Linked DNA regions of Drosophila melanogaster. Changing the gene in region 4 together with the main gene of any one other region gives a genetic interaction. Each region holds a gene or a part of one and is shown on either strand. Other genes may lie near its edges. The genes, in order: Chd64, mew, wech and parvin.

Region 1 (4,696 bases), on a different chromosome or scaffold from region 4:
AATCGCGTCTTCAAAAATCAATCCACGAAATGGCCAGATCTGGTGATTATTCACTATGCCACCGCCGATTTCGCTTTCTTTTGCGATTCGAATGCGTCATGATCCATGACAATTGCTGACCGATATCTTTTGGGTGGATAAATAAATGGGAAAATGACAAAAATTCCACAACGATAACATAAACAAAATCCGCAAAAATGTAACGAGGTCAATTGCGTACATACATATATGATTTTTGAGTCTGGTTTACGAGCGACCAACTTCGACTTCAGTTGACTGAGTTGTTGTATGGGCCCCCATCGAGTGCCTTTTTCGGAGGGATTTGGACAGGGGGCAGAATTTCATTCCATTTTCATTTGTCGAGGTGTTTTCGGCACTGGCAGTAGTTTCACCGGAAATCCAAAACAGCATTTGATTTACGATAAAGCCGCTGTCGACCACCTCCCGCGACTGTTTATGGCTTATCTAAAACTAGCGGCCAACAAGTGTTAAATTTTTGGGGGAGAGGTTCGGGAATGAATACCTAGCTATACCCATCTAGGAGCACGGAGTTCATGTGGGCCAAGTGTTCCACTTACGTGTCGCCCGCACTGATAGAGATACCCGTACCTATACTGATATATAGATACAGATACAGGGAGGTGCGTGCTGCGGATGTACAAGTGTGTACACAGTGTCTTTCACATATGCACTGCTAATTGAGTGTGGATTCTTGACTCCGAAAAAGGCCAAGTGATTAGTACGTGGCCCATGTGCCGCCAATGCGGTGAGATACAGCTGCGAGCGTGGAGGGAGTTGGAAAAGAAAACAACTACAGTGCGGCTTCTTAGGGGTGAATTTCCAGAAAGGAAATAGTATCATGCTGAATCTAAGATTGCTAAACTAATATATTCAATCGTTTATGTAGTTACAAATTAGTAAACATACTTTGAGTAACTTGAGACCTTTCTGCCTCATTCCTAGAACTTTCCCGACAGCTGGTGCTACGATCCCAGGAAAGGGTTGAAAATAAAGGGGCTACGAATTCCCTGGCCGAAACTTGAGATCCATGCCAATTTGTCGGTGACTGGTCGTAAAAGTCGGAAAAAGCACACACGCAAGCACGGAGTGTAGAGAACCCATGAGACAAACAAAAATATTGCTTTCATACCTTTTTGCCTCACTTTTGTTTTGCTGTTTGCTTACGCCACATACTCAGTTTTAAGTGCTCATGTGGTGGAAAAGGTGCTGCTATCGCCTCTACCTCCTGTCACCCCCAAAAACTCAAAACCCGAACCCGAATCCCCCTCAGAAGATATGAGTGACTCCCAGCGAGCGGCAAAAGTGCTCAAACTAACAACGCCTTCGAGTTGAATGGATCGCGAAGGGATCGAGGAGCACCAGTGGAGGGACAGCTGAAGGAATGACATCATCGCCTTCGGCTCCTGGGGAGCCATTCGATCGCGGCTTGGAGTCGCGCCAGCAGCTGCGCCTCCAGGCACTCGCCTCTATTTCTCTTATTTTTCTATACCCTATGCCAAGGTTCTTCCTATTCCAAGTACCAAAATGTTTTAGCTTAACATGATATGGCATAAATAAACACTACAGAGTTCTCATAATATTTTTCATAACCATAGTGCCTGATATATCACCATAAACCACGTTAAAACATACTTCATACTGTGTTTTAAAACATACTGTGTTTTAAAAATGCGCTAGTACAGATAATACCGATAAACAAGGCCTTTTGCCAAATGGCTGACTCAAGAGAATGAAATCCGGGTGGAAATACTTTTAGATAAGCAAAGCTAAAGCAAAACAAAATATTTCAGTTTGTCAACAACTTGGTAAAGTGCTCCTCAAGGGTATACAAAACTTCGGATATGAAAAATCTCGATTATTTGTTTCGTTTTTTGTTTGGGCAATGCTGTAACTGTAGTTGTCTTGTTGTGGATTTCGTCGGACTGCACTTAATCCCCTGTGCCGGCGACATATACAATTTCACTTGGGGCTGCCCAGGGGCGGTTGGAATTGCGTAACCCCGACTTGACGAGGGCCAAATGGCCGAAGGGTACGGGTAACCCATCCCCAACCCCATCCCACCCACAAAAGCCCGATGCATTTGTATGAGTGCATTTGAGGCAAAGTGCTGCTAATGGACGGAACTAATGTCAATTTACATTGCGGAAGCTACCATGCTGCAATAGTTGGGTTGAGATCATCCAAAGGGTCTTCCTTCTACAGTGGATACTCCACAAGTAGCACCTATGTATTCAGACTTGCTTTTATTGCAGCACAATTAATTAGGATTATATTAGCTCATCTTTATAATGTATACTGTTCGAACTTGGGATATTATTCATATCGAAATTTCCAGAGCTTTACTAACTACTACTAATTGTTTGATTTATGGATAACCAACTGTTTTCTCGATCTTCGATTTGAATCACCCGCACTGACAATGCCTCAAAATCACCTAAATCATCTTCAAGCTTTCGAATTACGCATGCATTACACATGTGTGTACATGCATGTATATATTCCTATATACATATGTATGTACATAAATACTTGTTCGACTTATCAGCGAAATGAGGTCATTCCTTGTTAGACGCTGGCAATTTCAAGACCATTTTTGGCTAATTTTTGGCATTTGGCGCGCGAAGATAAAATCTTGACAACGCAGCGCCAAATAAAGTCAATGCAGCTCTAAACTCACGCACACACCCGTGCAAAAGTTGATTTTTTTTTGGGCAATTTGTTTATTGTGTTGTTTTGTTTGGCGCTCTTCGGTTTTTGGGTGGGGGGTGCGGTTGTTGTTGCTATTTGGTACTTACTTTGCGCTGGGCCTCGGCGGCAAAACCAGACTTCGCTGCACGGTTGGACGCCATAGTTATTTGATGAAGAAACGGGTTTGCAGGGAGCTAAAATGTAGGTTGGTCTTGGGCTGAACTGCACCACTGTCCACTGGAATGTGTTTGCCGCGGAATAAATCGGAGGGAGCGCAAGGGTTAAGGCCAAGTTGGTTGGGCTACGTCCGTTCGCAACGAAAACTTACTACGTTATGAAAGGCGGTCCGAGCTGCGAAACAGAGGAAAGCTCGCCAACAGTTTAGTGTTGTAAAGCACACTCAGTCTTGTACCTAGTAGGTTGGGTACAACATAAAAGCTCCAAGCTGCGCTTATCAGCGGCAGCTGATTTGTTATGATGGCATTGATGATGTCATACCGCTTTGTTAACGGCAGTTGTTTTTCAAATAATAAAACATGGAACTATCGAGCACTGGAAACAATTTTACACTATATAAGTATAAATTTAAAATTTCTGGTTCATTTGCCTTCTAAACCAGTAACTTTTGTTTTCAATAGGTTTTGAAAAGATAATGAATCTGAATCAGTATGATTTCCATGATCCACCTGTTGCTTTACTTTTAATAGAAGTCAACCACTATTAGTGCTACTTTTTGCGGTTGTGTACAAACTATCCGATAAGATTCGCCAGAGTAAAGTTCCATTGAAAACTTCCTATGTTCCCCCTTATCGAGAGGTTCTTGCAGCAGCATTCCATTCAGATGACCATGACATTTTTGGGGGACTTTCTGGAAACCAAGAAGTAGCGAATCGCATTTGGATGATTGCCTTGAGAATTAGTTACAGTTTATTCACATAAATATATATTTTGTTTAATCGTATAAATTATGCAATTGTGGATTTACGATAAGAAGCGAATTTCTTTAGTGTTTCAGTGTGGTTCTAAATAAATAGGGGAATTGCTTGTATAATTTGTTGTTCTATTTGTCGTGTTTGTTTTTTTTTTTTTATGTGTGGGTTGTGATATATTTAATATTAGAAATACATAATTCAGCTTGATCTTCAAAGGTTTGTTATGTTGGTAGCATACACATTTAACTTATGTGGGCTTGTCTTTTGTTTTGATTATATCGCCATTTGGTTTATAACATAGGAAAGCAGTAATTAACTAGAAGTTAGGGCTTATTAGTTGCATACACATATTGCCATTATAATATATTATTCTATTAACGGTTTTCGCATGCGAATAATATGCCTGCTATATCTGTTTTTATAACCGATCTGCATACATCGATCATGCATCCTACTAATTGTTAAGGCCCTTTCGCTCAGATACAAGTGGGTAGTGTGTGATTTTCGTATTATATATAAATCGATTCATTTTTTACAATCTGTTATGCATGCTTCGAGGGGGACGACTCTTTAAAAAATAATCATCATAATTTATTTTTGCACATGGATAAATACAAATTACAAATATAAATGTGTATATGTATATATAAAAAATCATTTACCAAAAAATATATACGTAGACGCAAAAGAGACGCAATAATATACAGAGAACATTCCTATAATAAAGGGTGACATAAGCATAATCAGATTTGGGACTCCTACTACAAATAGTACAACATGGTAGAACTACCAGTTCCACTAGACCTAGGCATGTGTATATCAAGCACTGACATCTGTGATTACAGTGGGTGTATATATCCGCGTGTAATTGTTTTATTGTTTACAGGCTACCTATGTATCTGCTCGACTAGCTGCGAACAGTATCAGCAAATAATTTCAATTGAATTTCCTTATTTCCTCCTCTTTCCTATGTTTTTTTTTTTTCGTTTGTTTCGTTTTGTTTAAATAAATAATACCTCACGATTCGTTGGCTCAACGTATTAAACTTAACTTAC
Region 2 (4,907 bases), 6.5 Mb from region 4:
TTGGCGTCTGTTGACCTCATTTCGCCGAAAAGTTTTTTAAGTTCTTTCTTAGTTTTTGTTCTCTTCTATATTTTTTGGCGCAAACAAGGAACACATGTTGTCGGCATAAACACAACCAGTGAGCTGTTCGCGATGCAGAAGAAGTATCCCACATGAGATACAACATCTACGAGATACACCGAATCTCAGAGATTTATTTACATGCAAGCGAGTTAAAATCGTGCTAGCATTTTCATACCATTTTCAATCTGCAATATATTGAGTATTCAGCGCAATGAAATTGTAGTTCATTAACAAAGCCAATCATTATTTAATGCCGATTGATTGAAGGTGCTAATTAAAAAAAGTCGCCTACATATATACACATTTTTTATGGCGCTGTAAATGCCACGGCAAGGGTACGAAAACAATTGTATAGCTTAATCGACCATCCTCAGCGGCTTATCTCAATTTGTACCATATCATCAAAGGTAATAATTGCGCCACGTAACCGCTGGTATATATGGCTGGTACAAAAAAAAAATTAAGATGGGCCAGCGATAAGCGAGTCACATTATTTGCATACGTACCTTTTTTTTCATTAATAAAACAAATATGCGACAATCGCAAAGTGCAAACAAAACTGAAAAACAAAAGGCGCGCAATAAACGAGCTGGAAATTCAAGTTAACTGTGCAATTCACTGCAGTTATCGGACTAGCCTTCGATGCGAAAAAAAACAGCAATTTCCGTTTGGATTACAGCTTCTTCCGATTTCAAGTGCGTCATTTAAAGACGCGATGCAGATTTAAGAAACAGCGTGGGTCACCACTTCTTGCCAAACGGGGTCACCACCATATAATATCACCATTACATTGAAGTTAAAGCTCAAAGTTTATCATGCATCTCATTTGCAAATTTATTTTTATTATTTTTTTTTTTTTGAAGGTCTATTGATTTTCAGTTGGACTTTCAATACGTGACATTTCGTTACTTAACCCAAATGACTCAGGCTGGTACACTTAGACTCGTCGGCCGATAAATGATATATATAAACATATATATGATAAGTATAATAATAATATCCCTTTCCCTTATTCGGGTGACCGAAGGAGAGGGCACTACTTGGCAAGAGAGAGAGAAGGGGAACATGACTTTTTCACGCCTACGTAGGCATTACGCACCGAGTGATAGCGATGGGGCATGCCGCGAATGGCACAATTTCTTTTTTTTTACCACAATACATGGTTAAGAAACCACACCATGTGGCGGGAATAACTCGATTGCCAGTTCAGTTGTATTAAATGTATTAAAATGTTAGCAACTCAGTTTTTTTCGCTGCAAATTGGCGCATCCAAGTCGCAGCTTGTATTGATTCCAGATTTGTTGTCTGCCCATTTTTATGGCCACTGGCCGTCTGGCTCCGTTTTGTCTACCGAGTTTGGTTTGGCCAATGTATCTATCTATCTATCTATCTATGTATTGCTTGTATTGTATATAGAGAATGCGAAAAGGAGTTGGCCAACTTATAAAGTCGCCAATACGAGACATTTAATGAGCACCAAGCCCTCGCCAAAAAGAATCTATGACAAATGCAAATAAATCCACATCCGCTTCAGTCGCAATAGTTCAAGGGTTTAACCCATGTCGGGGGAAACATTAAAACAATTCGTCTGTTCTTCGACCAACTATGCTTATCAGTTGCACAAAAATAAACAATCAAAACCATAAAATATCAAACAGGCAAATTCTCAGATAGTAAGGATGACAAATCGTTTAAACTGTTGAAATTCTTCAAATAGCAATTCGAAAAAAAAAAAAGAGAAACAAACAAATATAATATTTAACACTTATCTGCTGTCATTGCATTTGGCATATGCATTCAGTTTATTATGGTTTGTTTCGATTCGAAAAACATCTAAAACCTGGCATCATCTCTGGAAATACTCGATATTCAAACAATTTATGGTAATTCAACAATAAAAACACGATTTCAAACAAGTTTCGCGCATTAGCAAACTTTGATAGCCCCCCCCCCCCCCCTGAACAACAGCAACAAACACAGCGATTGCAATGCAAATTCTTCTTATTATTATTATTATTTTATTATTTGTTGTTGTTGTTGTTATTGTTCGTGTGCTGCTGATTAATAACAATCAATGCCAGTCAATTAAGCTGAAATCGATTTGGCGAATATAAAAACCTGTTTGCGCACCAACAAGATTCTTGGCGCGAATTTCCGATTCGGACACGAATTTGGATTTGGATTCTTCTCTACCTGTTCTTCAGCATTATTGTTTACCTAACATTTTTCTAAAGAAAAAAAACACAGCTGAGACAACAAGACACTTTTCGAATAAATCTTTTGGATGCAAGTTTAAAATTGATTGTTGAAAAATAAAAATATGCCTAAGCGTTTAAATGAACTGCAGATAATGATTCACTTTGGAAGTTCGCATACTTTGGACGCATCTTTCAGATACTTATCTATCCACTTAACTATCCACTTACCAGTTGGTCTTGTTGGGCCCATTGGCCTCGCCAATAGTGTGGGTGGCCACCGAGTAGCCGAAATGCGAATGCGGATGTCCGTACTTCACAATGGGCAATCGCTGTTCTAGGTTGAAATTGTAGCAAGTGAGAACGCATTGCAGGATTATCAGAATACCAAGATTCTGTCTTAGCCGGCAGTTGGGCCGTATGGTGGTAAACGGTAGCTCCAACATCGTTAATTTTATGTTTTTTTTTTTTAATATATATTTTATAAATATTTCGTGCACGTGCACCGAACACGGCAAAGTGATTACTTTTTCCTTTGCACTATTGCAAACAAAACAATGAACCGAAAAAAAACACGCACGCACACACACACACACACACTAAATCCGTTGAGATCTTTGGATCAACAGGTAGTCCACGTATTTTTCACTTTTGCTCGTATATTTCTTCGTTTCAGTCACACAGCAAAAAAAAAAATGATTATTACGTAAAGAATTAGACATTGATAGCGTGCGTTCGAAGCGGCAGATATTTTCTCTTCGCTTCGCCTTCTTCGACGGGCAAACGAAAAATAAAATGCTTCGCACAGAAGAGCTACACTAAGCTACTGAGCTACCATCGAACATGGTTCGAACATGGTTCGAACATACATGTGCGCTGTGCAAGCAGTGGTCAAACATATAGCAAGCAGACGCACAAGCAGTTCCACTACACTAGAGGGCTGGATAACATCATTCTCTTTGTTTGCAATTCGGGCAGCGCGGAGGTAAGTCAAAGTTTGTGTTTTGTTGTTGATATGTTATTTATTAATCTCGACATGCGTTGCACTCGATTAATTTAAAGTTAATATAGAAGTCATACGACATCAGAATCACTATGACAGTAGAACGTCTCAGTCCAGGTAGATGCTATCCAAAGAAATGTATATATATCCAAAAGCAAGGTAAAATATCACAGCAGCATCTTTAGTGACCATATTGATATACAAACAAATTCGACCAAATTCTAATTTGCTGACCTTAGCCGAAACGCCAAGTGCGCATATGGTTGATAACTTGATAACTTTTCGAAATGCGCATGCGGGCATCTATTGCAGGAGGATATGGGAGTGAAATGTCCCGAGCTAAACGGCGCTCCAACTGCTCATTGCGGCCGTTGAGCAAATTCTGCCATATCTGGGCCCGCTTATCCAACTGTTGAGCCTGCACGGCTATCCGTCCATAGGAAACGGGCTCATACGCCAGCTTCAGTTGATCGAGCAGATTGGTGAGCTCTTCAATGGCCTGCTGCAGTTTTCTCATGGCACTGTCATGCATGATGAACGTCTCATCGGCTTTGCTGCCGTATTGACATATATATTTCATCCTGACCCAATTGGACGACGCGATACAATTCTTGCGGCGCAATATTTGCATCTTTAGCATGTCCATAAGTATTTCGGCCAGATCGATGGGTGGCAACTCGGCGGGTATCACCAAGCGGATGGCAAAATAATTGGGCCTACTGTACTTGTCCAGGAAGGTGCTAATCACGCCGTCTTGGGCATTACGCACCGAGCGATAGGGCGGCTTAATGCCGCGAACTGCGCCCAGCAAGCAGTGGTCGATCTTATTGCATCGAACTTTTGACATCGAACCGCGGTTTGTCGTGTAAAAAGCGTGTTAGAAATGTGTTTTATTATACAAGTAAGCTGCAATGGCCGTGTTTGTTATCTAGAAACTTTCTCGGAATGGTAACATACGTGTGTACAGAAAGTTAGCGATTGGCATCGTCACTCACCGTCGTAGTACTGGTAAATTGATTTTGCTTCGTCGAACAGCCCGGCAGAAAAATTTTAAAAAATTATAAAATTTTGCTGTGTAAAAGTAAGAACGAGAACAAAATTTTGTTGTGCTCCCAAAAAAGTAAAAGTACTTAATTATCCGAATCAGGTAGCTACACTTAACTCAATGACTACTGGACGCTTAAATACGTAAACTTTCGTCTCTAAATTTCCTCGCACACTAGATTTGAATTTTCGTTCAGTCGGATATTATCGATAAATCGATTATTGTGGACCACGAATTTTCTGGTATAAATGCGGTAGCAATTTAAGACTTCTCTTACCGGAAAATCTTAAAAAATTAAATGATTACATTTTTTGTTAGTAAAAGCCCGGCGAGAATTTATTAATATTTATACATATACAACTTTTATATTAAAGAGCTCTCGAGCACTCTACCAATTTAAAAAATCAACCGCTTGCTTTATAAATTTAATTATTATTATTAAAAAAAAAAATCATGCAAATACGAGTCGTTAGTTATTAAACTTGGCAAAAGAAACGTATATTTAAAAACCAAATCCCATATGGATGTACTAACAAGTTCGCCAGCCCTGGATTCCTAGGCGCATGTGCTGAATAAAATTTTAGATCACATCTTCCTTGAA
Region 3 (4,818 bases), on a different chromosome or scaffold from region 4:
ACACCAGCCCAGCTTCTCGGACATCAGTTCGTTCTTCGAGGATCGCGACTGCCAGCCGCCGGAGAATAAGAGATTTAAGTCGGAGCCCAGTCAGAGGGAGGAGGACGAGGAGGATGACGATGACTTCGACGAAGATGCCGCCTCGGAGAACTTGGAAGAGGAACGCGGCAATCGTGCCGATGCTGCCAGTTCCGGTGTATTCACCATAGAAGTGCTCGATGACGACGACGAAATGGAGCAGGCGGTGACCAAGACCAAGGCGAATAACACTAGCCACGGCGGATCCAGCCTGAAGAGCGAGCAGGAGGCCAAGGTGTTCTCCAATTCGCAGTCACCCACCGCCGATCTGCCATTCAAGTATATCAGCACGGATGTGGCCACGAATACGGATCCCTCTGGTGGAGATCTCCAGGACGAGGCGGATCGCATGTTCCTGCTCAGTCTGATGCCCTTCCTGCAAAGATTGGACAGCCGCCGGCGTCTGCGCGTGCGCCAGAAATTACAGAACGTGCTCATCGAGGAACTGGAGTTTGGCTGAGGACGCGTATATCCGGGGGAATGTGGGGAGATTTACTTTATAAGCCTAGCTTACAGTATTATAAGAACGCGACTGACTAACTCTGTGAATCTGCCTACATACGTAGCATGTAATCAGTATTCCGGCCTGCTTTCCTTCATACCAACACACTTCAATACATACCATATTGCATTACAATACATATTTACACTTCAAATAGACGATCACGCCAGCATGATTACTTGTTTCTTCCTCAGGATAACCGCTCACTTTTACCTGTATCTGCGCTCCGGTGCACCTGCGCCTTTTACCTGCGCACCCCGCCCGCAGTTCGAGTTCCCAATTATCCACGGTCACTGTTGCAATTGCATTTTTCCAGCCACGGGCGGCTCAAAATTTCTGTCAGTGCAAAACAAGTTCTTTAAGGGTGGTGCACGCGGCAACAACAACAACCACAAGGTGATTCCCTCCGCATTTTCGCGCCACATGCGCCGTTAATGCTAATGTACCGCGCTCTCGCTCGCTCTCTCCGCTCACCAATCACAATGCGCTCCGGATGGGCGAAACTTGGTCGAGCCTAGGCAACTTGATAATTCCCTTTTGGTGTGTTGTGTTTTTTGCCTGAAAACATCTCCCCATGTTTTAAAAATGATTCAAAGCTTTCGTTGAATAATGGCGGGCTTAACAGTTCTGCGATTTGCTTAATAGGGTCCAATTGGATGGAGTTTAACTTTCAAAAACTTTCGCTAAACAGAAAGCTCATCTTCTAATGAGTAGAGTCTGAAATTTAGACGCAGAATCCATAAAAATTCTTAGTGGTTCATGCATTGTTGTTAAAATGTTGAATGCTGTTTTGTCTTTTCGGAACTCATTTGGAATTCCAAAATTTAAGGTGAAACACTATTTAATTTTAATTTAAAATTCCTTTTAATTTCAGCAGTATGATTCCCCTCTGATTTGTAATCACAAAAATGTTCATGGCCATTCATTGACCATCATTTATACTTATTATAATCATTTATACTATTTATAAAAATTGAAATATAACAGTTAGCAGAATCAGTGTGACCAGCCATTGTGAGGATCAAAAACTAAACCTCCAATTCGGCTATGCCCGCGATACCCTGAACGAACAGGGGCGCGAATGACAAAAACAACAAAAACCAGCAGCAGCAGAAGGGCAGCGTCGTAACGAGAGAGCCGGGCAGAGAAGAAGAGGAAGAGGCAACGGCAGCGGCGAGCGCATGAACGTGAGTTTTGCAGTTTGATGGTTAAATGCGTGCGTGAAGGTTGGAGTGAAGATTTTGAGCCGAATTCGAATCCTAGTCCCCGCCGCAATAAGTGGGTCAGAATTGGAGCCGTTCGATTGGGCCAAACAAAAAGCTGGGCGCCACCGCAGACTGCAGCTAAAACACGCCGCCAAAGTAATTGGAAGAAGAAGCAGGCGCACAATAGGAATAATTGTTCATGGATTTTTTCGATTTCTCGTTCGCTTGCAGAAGGAAAAGTGCACGAGGGTGGAACCAAGGGTAAATAAGATTCGCCCGAAAACGCTTGGAAAATGTAAACAATCTGTAAGCACAGCGACGATAAGCGATTTTCAAAGAGTTTGCCAGCTTTTTACATCGATCAAACACTCGCATAATAAACGAATAAGAACTGACGATTAAATCGAATTGAAGTGGAGTGACGACTATGGGATACCCTAGGACCGCGTAGAGTGAATGAATTTGACAAGTGAGTTAAAAAAGCCATGGGGCACGAATTAAGTTAGCATAATATATGTGCGTAAATCAATTCAGTGCTATTAACTAAGTTTGTTGGGGGAAATGTTAGCTGTGTAATCCGCATAAAAGGAAATCTTGTTTAGGACCCATACGCCCCTGATACCCTGGACCGAAGCGGACGCCATTATCCTATTAGCCGTTATGCCCCATCAAGCGATTCGATTGTTTGAGGTTAGTAACAGTACATCTGACCAAACTTCTGCATCGACCCTCTGTATTAAACGCAGTTCTTTGCGGCATAAGTGAAAATAAATAGAAGATAAAATGTGCATGTGAGCCTCCCGTGCATGAGTGTGCCTGTGTCCGTGCGCCCTGCGAAGGAGAAACAGAGAGCGGAAGAAATAGGAAAAGAAGAGAGCGGGCGAAACGAAAGAGAGAGCGACGGTTTTGGAGCGCGCGCGCACATCAAAATTAAAAAACAAACTGTGAGATACATTTGGGTTTATTTTTTATATTTTGTTTAGGCTACATAGGCGATGATGATGATGTTGATGAGCGGCAAAAGCAACAGAGAGAGAGATAGAGAGAGAGAGAGAGAGCGAGCGACTCGAGTGTTATGTTGTGTTTTCAGTTTCGGTTTCGGATGTATCTTCTTCAGTCGGAATAAGGAATACACGATTGTCGGAGCGAACGGATTACGCATAAGAACTCTCTGGAAAACGAATTTCGCCTCGCGAAAATCCGCTGAAAAGGCAAAGCCAAGCCAATTCAAAACGGAATCCGCACCGCATCAAATTAAAAATCGAATCAATTAGCGAAAATCGGTACTGAACGCGCGACCCAACAACAACAAAAGCCAAGCGTCTTGCATGCGGCTGCTAAAAAAGGTGTGTACGCGAAGGAGATGCACGTAGAGAGCGAAAGAGGAGGCACGAGCGTGCCACTATCAACAGAATTTGATAAATAGACTTTAGTCCAATTGCTGCCAAATGCAAATATTGATTTTCACTACTCCCAAGATTTCCCAAAAGATTCCTCTCGACGCTTTTCCGTTTTTGGAAAATATACATACACAAATATACGGACGATTTGCGGCGCAGAAACCACCTACATACGGACATGTAGAGAAACTTGTGTGAATACAACCCTCGTCCTCATCCCCCTATGTTTTTGCGTCGTATCCTCGCTGCACGAACACAAATGTAGCGCTGTAACCGTGTGTGTATGTGTGTGTCTGTGTGTTTGTGAAAGGACTTTAACTTCTTGGTCGTGTTTTTTCCACGTCCTGCGACTCGGAGACAGACCCGTTTCAATGGAAAACGTTCAAGGGTGACAAGGGTAGTTTCGCTGATGCCTCCTCCTTCTCCTCCCCCTCTTCTTTCTGCATGGAGTCCTTTTCCTGCTCTTGTTCTTCTTATCCTTGTTTTTGTTGCCGCTGTCTACACGGTTCGAAAATATCCTAGAAGTGCATTCCTTTCCTAGGGCGTTGCATTGTTTAGCCGAAAAAAAGGGTACCAAAGCTGAGTTTGTTTATTGATTTCATCAGGACTGTTCGCAATCCAATCGCAACCATTACGCACAACCGCTTTTCTTAAACTACAGATGGTATGGAAATTCACGTTGTTGTGATTTCCCTTTAAACACTTTAAGGAGTGTATTTTCTTTTTATAGAATGCTAATTCATAGATGTTAAAACATCCCTAACATCTTGTCGTTTTTTAAAATCTCCTTGTCAAAACGGTAATAACATTCAAAGTTACCTTAACTCAAGGAACGTAAAATCTTGTCCTTAAAATGGGTTTATTTAATAATATCAACATATTTGCGCATTAAGTATATACATTTTCCTGGCTTAAATTTCCAATTTGGTTTGCTTTAAAATTTTACTTAGAACTGATTAAACCGAACAAGTTCGTTAAGTTCTTGTTTATCGAAATGCAAATCCATTTAAAGGGGTGTGATCCTTTACACCAACTTTTTATTAATATATATTCTGGGCCATAGTGCATCTTAATATAAGAACTGAACTGCCAGGCAAATTGTTTTCACCACAGATCGACAAAAATCATCAATCGCTTGACTTTAATATTTTTCCTTGACGAGAGCAACGGGAGGCCTAAACTCAACCCGCAGACATTCAATAACCCTTTTCCACCTTAACCCCATTCGTAAACTGGATTTGCTACCCCTCAAGTCATACTATAAATTAACTCAAATCACCCAAAATCAGAATGAAGGAAGAAATACACGTTCCTGTCGTCAAGTTTTCCGCAGAGTGTGGAAGAAACAGCTCCGTAATCCTGACCCGGTGGAGGGATGAAAGTCGGTCGTTTTATTGGGTCTACGCTCCTCGTCTTAGAGATGGAAACCAGTTCCGTCTGTTGTTTTATGACGTAGTCGCTTTGTGTTTGCCACCCCATTCTCCCCGCCGGAAAAGTCGCTTGCGCAGTGCTGGCGAAGCGAGGTGGTGGGTGGAAAGACAGGAAAATATTGTAACTACGTGATAAGGTTGAGCGCTGAGGTGGGGCCCCGTGAGGGTGGTTTCTAATCCCAGTCCAGTTTGTTTTCCCGTGT
Region 4 (4,926 bases):
GTACTTTTTTCTTTCTTCTTTTCCTGCTGCCCGAGGAATTCGCCAGCGGAAGTGTGTAAGTGCGCTAGTGTATGTGTGTGTGTGTGCGAGTGTTGCGATTTGGAGTGGCGAAGTGGCGCCGCGCGGCCAAGTTAATTCTTGCTTTGGATGGCATCGATCGGTGCCTTGGCTTACGGTCTGGTGTACTTGATAAGGTGCCAAAACGAAAAACATACCTTTGTTGTTACGAGAGTACGACGAAAAATTTTCAACTGGCGAGAATCTCACGAGCCTGGCGATAGCTATAGCGATGGGCTGGCTCAAAACTATCGAGAGCTGTCACGGTGACAGCTAGAGCCAGGCTGCCAGATCGCTCAGCTATTGCCTAGTGTTCGCTAGAGTTGGCCAGTGTTGGCCAGCGTGCGATTCGGAATGGAGTCGCGAGTCCGAAACTGCGACACGCGCAGGTAAATGGAAAACACAAGTCGCCTCCTCCGCCGCTGATGATGGGAAGCAATTATCCCGAGCACGGGACCAAGCCGAGATCCGCCAAATACCACAAACAACAGAACCACCGAGTGGTGCGCAAGCAGCCGCCGCGTCCCGCTGTTAGCGACCGCCACAACATCTACATCACCAGCAAGACAGACTTTAAGGCAAGTAGAACTGAACTCATGCTGGATGGTGAATCGCCCATGTGCTAAGTGACAGAGTCCATCTCCTTGACAGGCCCAGCAGCGCCGCTGCGAGGAGCTGATTAACTCCGGCGCCCACGAGATCTTTCTGCATTGCATGGGCTTCTCCGTAACCCGCGGCCTCAATATCGCCCTACGCCTCGTCCAGAATTCTGACGGCGCCCTTAGCTACGCCATCAACACCTCCACCGTTCAGCTGGTGGACGAACTGCACCCGCTGTGCGATGCCGAGGACATAACCTTCCGCCAGCGCAACAACTCGGCCCTGCACATCAAGATCCTCAATAACAGTCTCTTCGACATCGCCGTGCCGCAACCGTCGCAGTCCCAGACGCAAGCCCAGTCCCTGGGCCAGTTCCGAGGCAAGGCGAAGGCCAGGCAGTAGCATGTTCAAACTCTCGGAGCTGGTGCGCTGGCTGGGGCTCACCGAGTTCGAGATTCTGGTCAATCTGTGCGGCCTGCTGGTGTTCACCATCACGCTGACCGTCAAGCTCCATCTGCAGGCCAGGGCCGGACCCGGTGGCATACTCCCGGAGCCCATGGGCGACTGGTTCACCGTCTTCAGCCCCCTGTTCTTCATCGACATCTGCAACGCGTACTTTTGCGTCATTGTGGGCATCCGCATGTACCTGGACTCTAACAACAAGCGCAAAGCCCTGCATCGCTTCATGTGGAGCACGTATTTCCTGGTGCTCATCGCCATCTTCAAGTACCTGCTCTGCCTGAAGCTATCCAGCAAGACGGGCCTCGAGTATTCGGAGGTCTTCTCGCCGATCTTCGTTCTGTTGCAGCTCGTGGCTGTGCGCGCCTGCCAGTTGCCCAACTCCATCTAAACCATAGACGTAGTATAGCCCTAGTTCCGTATTATACATATATGTAACTATTCTGAAAGCCTTTAAATCATTGGATTGGTAGTTATCTGTATACGCAATGTGGTACAATAATTTTTAAGCGGTACGAAATTTATCTTTCTGGATATAGCATATCTAATATATACGAATTATATCTGATCTGATTCGGTATGAAGGACATACATACATACATATGTTGTTGTGCTTTTTAATCAATGATCTAATGATCTACGCATTATAATTTTTTTAAAATTTCCAACAATTTAATTTGATGTACAAATTCAAAAACTATTAAGCTGATATGAATTTCTTCTAGCTGTTGTTGTCAAAAGCCACATTTTTTTTAAATTATAAATGAAAAATAACATTTAAGCTCATTGTTTTAATTTAATCTAAGGTCTTTTTAAACAATTTTTATAATTGGCAATTTAGTTTTTATTCGATTTTTTTGGAAGTTTCTCTTGAGTCCGAACGCCAGTGTTGGACAACATGTGTGGTGGGCCTGCGATCAGGTGGCAGCCCCAAGGGAAACTGATTGCTCAGCTCCGCCCGAAACGAATCGAAACAATAACACAAACTGTTCACTTAGTCCGGAATTCTTGGAATCCAGCAGCACCATGTCCACACTGAACCGCCCTAAATCCCCGCACACGCCCACCGCCATTAAAAAGGGCGAGAAGGAGGACAGCTTCTGGGACAAGTTCAGCACTTTGGGCCGCAAACGCGGCACCCGCGAAGGTAAGTCCACTTGATGATTGGAGCTCTCCAGATGGCTATTGTCGGCCAGGAATTGATGGGTATCCCAGAGTATTCCATTCTTGGACCCCTGAACCTCCGAAAAGTGGCCCAAAATGACCCAATGGATCCTCCCCCTGCGCACTGGAAGCTCTTCTGGGAACAGATGTGCGGATGCGCTGATTAATCAGAACATTGCGTCACTGTTGACCCACACAAGCAAACGGCGCTGATAATCGAGAGTGTGTGCGTTTGTGTGAGATGGCCTTGTGTCGTCACCGTTTTTGTTTACCTTGTTGATACCCTAAATACGCATCCGCTTGCTCCATTTGCAGTGAAGAAGGTCCAAGAGGAGGGCAAGTACGCCATCGACTCGCCTGGATCGCCCAGCCAGTATGACATCCCGCCGGAGGACTATGCCCTGCGTAAGTGCATTCGTTTTGAAGGGGCATCTCCTCGTATACCCATCGCATTTCCCACAACTCATCACATTTGATCCTACAGGCGAGCACGAACAGCGCGCCGTCATCGATCCACAGTCCATCAGTGATCCCCAGGTGATAAAGCTGCAGCGCATCCTCGTCGACTGGATCAACGACGAGCTGGCCGAGCAGCGCATAATTGTTCAGCACCTGGAAGAGGACATGTATGACGGCCAGGTGCTGCACAAGCTGTGGGAGAAGCTCACCGGCAAGAAGCTGGACGTTCCTGAGGTCACCCAGTCAGAGCAGGGCCAGCACGAGAAGCTCAACATCGTCCTGAAGGCCGTCAACCATGTAAGTAGTAGTAGTTTATGTTTTGCAGGATTTAAAAATCGGAGTTACCAACATTTAATTATTTATCCATTCTTAAAGTCGAATAGAATAATTTTTATTCGATTTACAATTAACATTCCCTTTTCTCGCGATATAAGAATAAATTTTATCCTTGCCCACACCCACAGACACTCGGCTTTCACCAAAAGATTCCCAAGTGGTCGGTGGCCAGCGTGCACTCGAAGAACATTGTGGCCATATTACATCTGCTGGTGGCACTGGTGCGTCACTTCCGGGCGCCCGTTCGCCTGCCAGAGAACGTGTTCGTGACCGTCGTGATTGCGGAGAAGAATGCGGGCGTGCTGAACGCGCAGAAGTTCCAGGAGCAGATAACGTCCGAGTACGACGACCTGGGCATGCGCTGCGAAAAGGACGCCTTCGACACGCTGATCGACTGTGCGCCGGACAAGCTGGCCGTGGTGAAGAAGTCCTTGATCACGTTCGTGAACAAGCACCTGGCCAAGCTGAACTTTGAGATCAGCGATCTGAACACGGACTTTCGCGACGGCGTATACCTGTGCCTGCTGATGGGCCTGCTCGGTGGATTCTTTGTGCCGCTGCACGAGTTCCATTTGACGCCGCAGGACGTGGATCAGATGGTCAGCAACGTGGCCTTCGCCTTCGACCTGATGCAGGACGTGGGCCTGCCCAAACCAAAGGCGCGGCCGGAGGACATCGTGAACATGGACCTCAAGTCCACCCTGCGCGTCCTATACAGCCTGTTCACCATGTTCAGGGACTTCGCCTGAGTGAAACCCGGATGGAACGAGCCAGCGGGTTGCAGGAGCAACAAGCGGCGCCAATTTTACATTTTATATTAACTTTTTGATAGTGTTTACACGCCTAATTTATGTGCGTTCTCGAAACTGATTGTAGGCGATGCAGCGGTTAAAGCTTACTGATCCTAACTCTCAAAACCACAACTAAATGCTGCGTCGCGTATAATCAGCCCAAGGAATGTTTATATATATATATATATATTTATGTGTCGTACGTCTAACCACTGCGATCTGCTCCAGATTCAGATTGCTCGGAACAGGAAGGAGCAGAGCAGAGCAGAGCTAACCCAAACCCAAAATCCGGCGGCCAGTTGTTAACTTGTCTTACTCACGTGCCAGACGTTGTAGTTGTTACTAAGTGAATTTATTGTATTAATACATTATTTGAACACAATAACCGAGATTGTGCCTTTAGATCACACAGAGCTTTTGCAAATTATGTCACAGATCAGATTTTAACGCTGTAAATGTAGAAGTTTACGGAAAAGTCTTAAAAAAAAATTTTATTGTGTACGTTAAAAATTTGGATCAGAAAAATCAATAAATATTGCCAATAGCATATGTGTTATTCTATTTTAAACAGTTCCAAGGCGCAAAATTTATCTGGGGCTGCAGCACTCACAAACGCCAGCTTCCATCCTATTCACATGTAAGTTCTTTCGAGCGTCTCGAATTGATTGAGAAACAAACCTTAGTAATTTTCTGAACGCTGTGCTATTTGAATTGTCGCGGTTGCGCGCGCAACTCGCAACGGTCTGGTATCGATCACAGCTGCGAGCAGGCTGCCAGATCGCTTCCCGTTCGGGAACGATTTCGCATCGATTTTCGATTGCTGGCCGGTATAATTTGAAAATGTTACTTTGCTGACCGGATTTTGGTCCTTGGCCAGATGTTGGCCATGAATCTAAAAGCCAGTATTTAGTAACTTGCGTTGATTGCAGCCGCTTAACTAAGCCGCTTAGCCAGATATGTCCTAATGTTATGTGTTTCGTTTCGAAACAAGGTGGCAACCATGCGCATGCTTTTTATGATTTTCACAATAGCCGAGCGAAGTTTCAAGATTCTAGAACTA

The links.
Region 1: of parvin (region 4) and Chd64, changing one enhances a phenotype caused by changing the other (phenotypic enhancement), as found in Drosophila melanogaster (one study listed by BioGRID).
Region 2: of parvin (region 4) and mew, changing one enhances a phenotype caused by changing the other (phenotypic enhancement), as found in Drosophila melanogaster (one study listed by BioGRID).
Region 3: of parvin (region 4) and wech, changing one suppresses a phenotype caused by changing the other (phenotypic suppression), as found in Drosophila melanogaster (one study listed by BioGRID).

What each region holds. Positions count from the first base shown.
Region 1 is NT_037436.4:4,119,340-4,124,035, forward strand, and holds the start of Chd64 (Chd64), read right to left. Parts: upstream 3,050-4,696; 5' UTR 2,871-3,049; coding exon 2,817-2,870; intron 1-2,816.
Region 2 is NC_004354.4:13,254,128-13,259,034, forward strand, and holds the start of mew (multiple edematous wings), read right to left. Parts: upstream 3,057-4,907; 5' UTR 2,705-3,056; coding exon 2,490-2,704; intron 1-2,489. Other genes in the region: CG15742 (uncharacterized protein), read right to left, coding at 3,497-4,108. UniProt on the Drosophila melanogaster protein: Integrin alpha-PS1/beta-PS is a receptor for laminin.
Region 3 is NT_033778.4:7,486,769-7,491,586, reverse strand, and holds the start of wech (wech), read left to right. Parts: upstream 1-1,763; 5' UTR 1,764-2,254; intron 2,255-2,894; exon of another isoform or gene 2,895-3,131; intron 3,132-4,818. Other genes in the region: Coop (corepressor of pangolin), read left to right, coding at 1-538. UniProt on the Drosophila melanogaster protein: Vital for larval development. Plays a role in tumor formation. A crucial component for the physical link between integrins and the cytoskeleton in the epidermal muscle attachment sites.
Region 4 is NC_004354.4:19,744,047-19,748,972, forward strand, and holds parvin (parvin), read left to right. Parts: upstream 1-1,994; 5' UTR 1,995-2,142; coding exon 2,143-2,263; exon of another isoform or gene 2,264-2,441; intron 2,442-2,595; coding exon 2,596-2,685; intron 2,686-2,764; coding exon 2,765-3,036; intron 3,037-3,203; coding exon 3,204-3,824; 3' UTR 3,825-4,412; downstream 4,413-4,926. Other genes in the region: Rpp20 (ribonuclease P protein subunit p20), read left to right, coding at 483-635, 709-1,059; CG33932 (uncharacterized protein), read left to right, coding at 1,061-1,507; Alr (augmenter of liver regeneration), read left to right, coding at 4,867-4,926.